2 linked regions of the Xenopus tropicalis genome follow. The protein of the gene in region 1 purifies or fractionates together with the protein of each later gene. This does not show direct contact. Links are inferred from orthologs where the notes say so. Each region holds a gene or a part of one and is shown in the gene's direction. Other genes may lie near its edges.

Evidence for each region.
Region 2: the proteins of cd40 (region 1) and birc2 purify together in Homo sapiens (affinity purification with western blotting; 4 studies listed by BioGRID and IntAct, with this or other methods). This does not show direct contact. The link is inferred for Xenopus tropicalis from reciprocal best matches to the Homo sapiens genes CD40 and BIRC2.

The regions. Positions count from the first base shown.
Region 1 is NC_030686.2:20,127,521-20,132,088, forward strand, and holds the start of cd40 (tumor necrosis factor receptor superfamily member 5 precursor), read left to right. Parts: upstream 1-1,495; coding exon 1,496-1,546; intron 1,547-4,568.
Region 2 is NC_030678.2:162,212,132-162,215,952, reverse strand, and holds part of birc2 (baculoviral IAP repeat-containing protein 2), read left to right. Parts: intron 1-2,682; 5' UTR 2,683-3,182; coding exon 3,183-3,821. UniProt on the Homo sapiens protein: Multi-functional protein which regulates not only caspases and apoptosis, but also modulates inflammatory signaling and immunity, mitogenic kinase signaling, and cell proliferation, as well as cell invasion and metastasis.

The DNA.
Region 1 (4,568 bases):
AAAGAGCAATCACTTACAGAGCACCAACCACCAGAGCAAGCTCCACTGGAGTGCCAGTGGTTCTATTTATACTGTCTGTTCAGGTGAACTAATCAAACCCCACCTACCTCAAACCGAGGGTAATAAAGGAATGCAACTTCTGGCAAACCTGCTGTAAGCCTTATAGTTCACCAAACTTTGTAATTTAGCACCAAAAACAGCAAATACTTTTGAAAGAAATAAACACAACAGTTAAACAACACAATGATTTTGAATAAAGTTAAGAAAATATACTTATCCCTTTTTTTTTTTTAATTGATAAGCAAGTTGTTTCAACAAGCCTGTTAGTAACCCTATGTTCCACCCCTCATAAATACAGTGCTACCAAACTCAGAACTGTATATATAGGGGCAGATACAGGCCTCTGTTATCCTTTTTGGATTACAAAGACCTGCAGAAATAAAGTTAGTGTGCAGAGCGGGTTGCAGAATGCAAAAAATACGTCAGATTGCATTCTTTTTTGCATTTTGCATCCTACCTTACACATAGTTATTGCATAGCTCCCAGCTGTCCCGATTTTCGCGGGACATTTCTGATTTTAACAGCCCACAGTCCCGGATTCTTACTGAAAAGTCCCTCATTTCACTTTGATCTCCTGCACTGAATGCTAAAAAAGATACAACGTTTCTCAAACTTAAATAAGTAGCTTTTGGAAGAGAGCCCAGAAAGATTAACAAGCAACACCTGTACTTAGATACAATTGTAACTAATAAGCTAAATAGGTCTCTTGGGGGAACTGAGACTTACAGATTAAAGGGCAATGTAATAACACATTAAACAAGACCCTAAAACCTTTAAAAATGTGTTCAAACTTTAAATAACCTGCCAAATTTTGTAAAAATAGCATTGGCATTTAGGGGATGTGGTCACAAAAATGGGCATGGCCAAACATTTTTTGTCATGCTACGCCCTGCATTTCTTTTTGTCCCTCTTTAAATTTTTCAAATGTTGGGAGGAATGGAAAATGAACCCTAGTGATCCCTGCTTACAAAAGTAAAACAATAAATGATAAAAGTTCAGCGATAATTTCCTTTTGTGATACAGGCAGCTTCAAAATACTATATATTTTTTCATGAATTACTCCGTAGTTATCATTAGGCTTCATGCCGTATAACTAATCAAGAGTTAAATTACAGGCTCACCAGACAGGAACCCTCCACCCTCTCTGCTCAGAGTTCCTCCTGTGTAATTCCCCAGTTTCACTTTCACAAACTGGTTCTGTATTTCTGGAATACAGCAGAGGGCGGGTCTGACCGTACAGACTGGGACACTGCACATATAACTGCTTTTATATTTGATATTCTAAGGGCTTTCCTTTGATACTCCTAAAGAAGGCATCTGTTCTGCTGAGCTAGCACTCCAGGGACAATTGTTCTACGGACTAAAACAAACCCAAGGATTCGTAGCTGATATCATTTTGTAATTGCTGCCTTTGTATTGCAGTCTCTGCTGGAAAATGAGATTTCTGCTGCTTTTTCTGCTATTGCTTCTGAGCTGCAGCCACAAGGTAAGAGAAGATTGGAATACTAAAAACAAACCAAAATGAACTAAAATTGTTAGTCTCAGAAGTCAGAACAGTGTGTGTTTTTGTGAACTCTCTGTCAGTTATTCTCTTGCGCACAAAAGCAGAGTCACATCTTTCTACAGTCTGTGTTTTACTACTGTTTACTTTCACTTTGTACAAATAAGCATTATTAGTCTGGAATGGTGTTCCTACTACCACTATACGTTTTCCAGAACATAAGAGATAAAAAATGTGTAGGTTTTTATATTTGATAAATATGATCACTGTACATGGTGGTGGTTAGCTGAAACAGGAAAGTATTCTGCAGATCGCCCATGGGGAACAAAAAGATAGAATGGGGAACTATGAGAGTCTCTCTATAAACAGTTCCCTAAGACTACTAGCACACTAGCAAATATGGCATAAATACTGAAATCATCTGTGAAAAGTGCTGCTTCACAGAAAATACCATTAGTTTAAAGCATGCAGTGAAGGTATGTAAGCCTCTGGTTTTATATATCCTGAACACATACAGAGAGAAATAAAGCTCCCTTAATCGCCGATGGGATGGCATATGCGGCATATGCGCCGCGTATGATATCCCACCGGCGATTTACATTCTCGCCGGTGGGATGTCATATACAAGGGAGATTTGTTGTGGGCGACTAATCTCCCTGTGTGCCACAGCTCTAAAGGGTTTAATTTATCCTAAATGTAGTTTTAGTTTCAATCATTTTTATTGGGATTTTTTTAAACATTATAGCCAAATAAAGGCATTAAAACTAAATGTAGTTTTAAAGCTTCTGTAAACAGCAGTATTCTGAGACAATTAACAGATACACTTTTTATTTTATATCCTTATATGTTCTGCAGCTTTTAAGCTTGAAAATTTGATTGCTAGCTGTTTGCTAGGGATTAATTACAACAGCAACCAGGCAGCAACAGGAAATGAAAGATCAGTAAGCAAGGAACCAAACAGAAAGCTAAAGTAATAATAATAATAATAATAAAGTATAAGCCTTTTAGAGGGTCTGTTTTATGGTTGCCTGGGTTAGCAACAACCAGATAGCATTTGCAGTAGCAGACTGGAGAGAAACAAAATTGAAAAGCTAATAAAAATAAAGACTAATGTAAGTTTCATATATAAAATACAGCATTGGCCGGGCACATTCCCTTAAACAATATGTGGTTTATCTCAGAACTAATGAAGTTAATAGTAATGAAGAGGAAAGTGGTTAAAAAAATGAGGGGACAGACACTTATTTTAAAACAAGCAAAATTTAATCCTAAAAATATATTAAAAACAGTAGTAAAAAGAATGGTTTGGGTATGTGACTCCATAAAACACGGAAATAATTTGATTATAAGGGGTTGTGAAAAGAAAATGTGCCAATTTAGTTCTTTTCTTCAATGTATGCAACTGGGGAGTCAGATTTTCAGGACCCACTCTCTGGTGGCACAAATGAAGTGAGTGACCAATACACAATATGGTAAACACAGCATTTAGGCAGGTTTAATTCTGACAAACCTGCCTAAATTCCAGCATTTCTTTAAAGTGCTTTAATTATCTCTCTTTAAAGGACCAGCAACACAGAGTTTTTACAGTTTGCGGTCCTGGCATTGGACCTGGTTATTAAAAAAAACCCCCAATATGGGTTTCCCGAACTCTGCATGTGGTATGGGACTACATCTTTTACTTTTGTCATTCAGCCATTAGTTGTACCAGCTTTATAAATGAGGTAAGCCCCCTAACTATTGCTTTCCAGCAGTTATAGTGGTGAAAGCTTATTTCATATGTGTAAATAAAAACTCTGTTTGTAAAAAGAATTTTTTTTAAACACATTTAGCACTTATGGTTGTTTTTGGGTTGTATTTGAACACACAATTGCAAAATATCTAATACTTGTGTGTTAAATAAAGCCTAATGGCTAGAAATGTTGCTAATGTGGTGCCGTTATTTAAAAAGGGATCCCGTTCTCAGCCTGAAAACTATAGGCCTGTTAGTCTAACATCAGTAGTAGGAAAACCTTTGGAATGGGTAATAAGGGATAGGGTACTTGAATACATTGCAGTTCACAATACTATAAGTTTGTGCCATTATGGTTTTATGCGTAACAGATCTTGCCAGACTAATTTAGTCGCCTTTTATGAGGAGGTGAGTAGGAACCTCGATGCTGGAATGGCAGTTGATGTAATCTACTTGGACTTTGCTAAAGCATTTGATACTGTACCTCACAGAAGGTTTAATGATCAAATTGAGGAATATTGGCCTAGAACATAATATTTGTAATTGGATAGAGAACTGGCTGAAGGATAGATTACAAAGAGTGGTGGTAAATGGAACATTTTCTAATTGGACCAGTGTTGTTAGTGGAGTACCGCAGGGGTCAGTCCTTGGTCCTTTGCTTTTTAACTTGTTTATTAATGACCTGGAGGTGGGCATAGAGAGGACTGTTTCTATTTTTGCTGATGACACTAAATTGTGCAAAACTATAAGTTCCATGCAGGATGCTGCCGCTTTGCAGAGCAATTTGACAAAATTGGAAAACTGGGCAGCAAACTGGAAAATGAGGTTCAATGTTGATAAGTGCAAAGTGCATTTTGGTAGAAAATAATATAAACGCGAACTATCTACTGAATGGTAGTGTGTTGGGGGTATCCTTAATGGAGAAGGATCTAGGGGTTTTTGTAGATAACAAGTTGTCTAATTCCAGGCAGTGTCATTCTGTGGCTACTAAAGCAAATAAAGTGCCGTCTTGTATAAAAAAGGGCATTGACTCAAGGGATGAGAACATAATTTTGCCCCTTTATAGGTCCCTGGTAAGGCCTCACCTTGAGTATACAGTGCAGTTTTGGGCTAGAGTCCTTAAGAAGGATATTAATGAGCTGGAGAGAGTGCAGAGATGTGCAACTAAACTGGTTAAGGGGATGGAAGATTTAAACTATGAGGTTAGACTGTCGAAGTTGGGGTTGTTTCAATGCACCAGAGGTCACCCCTTTAGATTAGAGGAACGGAGCTTCCATT
Region 2 (3,821 bases), on another chromosome or scaffold:
CCAGAGTCTTATTTCCCATGGGGTTGAGCTCGTGTCAATTGTTAGTGAACCAAATTGCGCTTTGAATACGTGCCTTAATTGAAGGTATCTATAAAACTGCAAGTTTGGCTTCTCCAATTTCTCTTTGAGTATATTGAATTGGACAAAGATACCATTAATTAGCACATCCGAGAGCCATTTTACCCCATTGGCTGGCCAGTATTGGAAATCAGGCAATTCCTTAAAGTGTTGTAAGTTAGTATTATTCCATAGTGGCATTTGTAGTGAATGACCCTTGATGTTTACTCTGTTTTGCTTTATCAATTTAGCCCATGCTGTCATTGGGGTAGTAAGTACTTCTGGAAGAGGTATTATGTCCCTCTTTTTCCTATACGGTGCATTACGGAGTGCTTCCAATGAACCAATTAGGTTCCCATGTAATGCTGTGAGTGGGTTGTCAGGATCTGGGTTGAACTCTGATAATTGTCTTTACGTGAGTTTTAGCAGAGGCAATTCTCAGTATTGTCTGTGGCAGGGGATTTTCTGGAGTTTAGTAGCCTTGAAAAAGTAGCTGCTACTAGTAGCCCAGTGTGTGTTCACCCTAAAGGTGGCCATACACGGACCGATTTTTTACTTACAAACGACCGATTCGCGAACGATCCGATGCTATCGTTAAGTTATCGTATAGTTGGTGGTGTACGAACGATCGTCGGCCCACTAAACGAGCCGACATTATCGTCCCCAAAATCGATCGGCCAGGTTTAAAAATTTTGGTCGTTTAACGATAAAATCTGCCAGTTGGTGTGAGTGTCAGACATTTGTCTTTCAACGATTGTTCTCTGCGCATGTCACGATTGCCAGCAGCGGAAGTCAACGACATTCGATCGTACGTAGATGTACGATCGTAGGTATTTTACGATAATGATGCGACAAAATCTTTCCCGAATTATCGTTGCCCGTGGATGGCATATCGTATGGGAACTCGATCGCCATACGATCGTTTGTCGATATAATCGTTCATCGCACAACGAGCGAAATCGCCTCGTGTATGTTTATAAAACCTGAGCCATTTCTACGGGCAGAGTATGGAACAGAGTAGGGTGGGTCGTAGGAGCTTGGGATCTTGTTTTTGCTATTGCAGCAGCACATTCCTTTCGTGATAGGCGTTTGCAGGCTTTCCCTTCTGGGGCCCCATAGGAAATCTGCAATGTAAAGTTGTGCTTGAGTTCTGCACTGAGAGGGGAGACATATTAGATTTTATCATCATGCCTAAAACTCTTTTCTCTGGGGGGGGAGACAGCTGTGTTTCTTATGGCAGTGTCACTCCTGTTTATTGGCAGCACACCATGGGCTGCCTGTTAAAGGGGACGTTGACCCAAACGGTAAAATTTATAGCTAGAGAGAATGCACAAAATGCATATGTGATTTGTACACTGTGCCTTTCCCCAAGCCAGGGGACTGGCTGCATTGCTCTAACAATGTATCTAAAGTTGGATGTAAACCCCTCCACCTCAACAGATAAGGGGGTTTCACTGCTCCTTTAATATTGGGAATATAAGGGATGAGATTACCTTGTAGCCTAAATGATCTCTGCACAGGCTTCTAGTTAGTTATGAGCCTCTGCACAGGCTTCTAGTTAGTTATGAGCCTCTGCACGGGCTGCTAGTTAGCTATGAGCCTCTGCACGGGCTGCTAGTTAGCTATGAGCCTCTGCACGGGCTGCTAGTTAGCTATGAGCCTCTGCACGGGCTGCTAGTTAGCTATGAGCCTCTGCACGGGCTGCTAGTTAGCTATGAGCCTCTGCATGGGCTGCTAGTTAGCTATGAGCCTCTGCACGGGCTGCTAGTTAGCTATGAGCCTCTGCACGGGCTGCTAGTTAGCTATGAGCCTCTGCACGGGCTGCTAGTTAGCTATGAGCCTCTGCACGGGCTGCTAGTTAGCTATGAGCCTCTGCACGGGCTGCTAGTTAGTTATGAGCCTCTGCACGGGCTCCTAGTTAGTTTATGAGTATTCTGACTGATAGTGGGACCAGGGGTAAAAATTACCCTTTAGTTATAACCTTTACCTGTAATTAAATATGTCCTGTCCTGATTAAATATATCATTGCAGAAAATGTATTTATGGTGAACTGCATTTTTCCATTGGCAGATTTTTTTGCGAAATTCGGTGTGGAAAAAGTTTGCCGTGTGTCAAAAAAAAAAGTTAAAAAAGTTAAAAAAGGTGTGGTTGCATGTAAAAAGTCGAGTGTCAAAGTCTTTCTTTGTAAAGGGATATTGACATTTTTCCACATTTGTTAGAAATATGTTACTATCCAATTAATAAACTATCTGACTTTCTCAGAAAACCATTACTGGCCTGTGTTGGTGACTGACCCAGCGTCTCTCCACGTGGCACTAGGAGGGTAGCACAAAGCCCTGATAGGCTGGGGTGTTGTTTACATTTGTCATCAGCTGACAGTCCCATGGTTAAACACGTGAACACTTGTGTTTAGATTGACTTTTTAATTGTGATCACAAATCCCCATGTGCAATTGCCTAAATAAGAATTGCAGCTGTTGGCACTAATACAATTAGATTGGAGCTGGAGATTGTAAATCTGATAATTTGTCAAATATATGTTATTCCAGCATTGTTAATTAATACCCTTTTATAGGACAAATATGTTAAACGTAACTAACTCAGAGTCTTTTGCCCACTCCTCTAGGTGCTGATGTCTCACCGACCAATGCGGTGATCTGGAGAAGAATTTTGTTTTTCTCTACTGCTATTTACATTATACTATGGCTTGCTAAACCCTTACAAAAGGAAGGGGGCATCTTTCTTAGGGGTACTAAATACCACCACTTTAGTTATAGTTAATACAGAAAGCGTAGCATTTATGGCCATAATGGATTATAGAGTATTTCTTACAATGAAATGTAGCAATCAACTTAAAAAAGATCTTAGCACTGAAGAGCTAGCGTTTTACTATCCTACCTGAATTGTATATAAGAGAAAGAATAGAGTGTAGGTAGAAGTAAGAGCTCCCAGTGTGCATGCCACCATAAGATTGTGCTGGCTAACTAGATGTGGTTCAGTAGCACTGAAATCTTTGCATTCACTGCATGTTTTTATTAGAACTGTGTTGCAGAATAGGAAACGTAACTGATAATATAGTAACTATCTCCCTAGGAAAGATGCCCCCTTCCTTCCCTTTCACAAACCATGGCAAATGAGATTTTGGACAGACGCCCAGACCTTGCTAAGAGGTTGAAGTCAAACCCAAGCATGTGCAAAATTACCTTGGAATTCTCATGTGAACTCTACCGTCTCTCTACATTTAGCTCCTTTCCAAGCAATACACATGTGTCTGAGCGCAACCTTGCAAAAGCTGGTTTTTATTACACCGGGCAAGATGACAAGGTCAAGTGCTTTACCTGCGGCTTGATGCTTGATAATTGGAAGAAAGGTGACAATGCATTTGAAAAGCACAAAAAGTTGTATCCCAGCTGTAGTTTTATTCAGAATGTCCCTTCAGTGAATCTTGGCGCATCTCTGTACTCTGCCTTCTCACCACCTGCCTCCAACAGTACATCCATGCCTGCTGCTTCTGCTGAAAATGACAAAGTTGAGGCAATCACTTTGAAATATAGTAGCATTCCCCAAGATCCAGTCACGCTAAGGGGCATTGAGGATCTGTCGCACGTCAGGATCAGTGAATACATGTATACAGAAGAAGCCAGGCTTAACAGTTTCCAAGAGTGGAGCAATATGTTCCTTACTCCTGCTGAACTCGCAAAAGCTGGCTTTTATTTTGTTGGGCCCGGAGACAAAGTCGCCTGCTTTACCTGTGATGGGAAATTG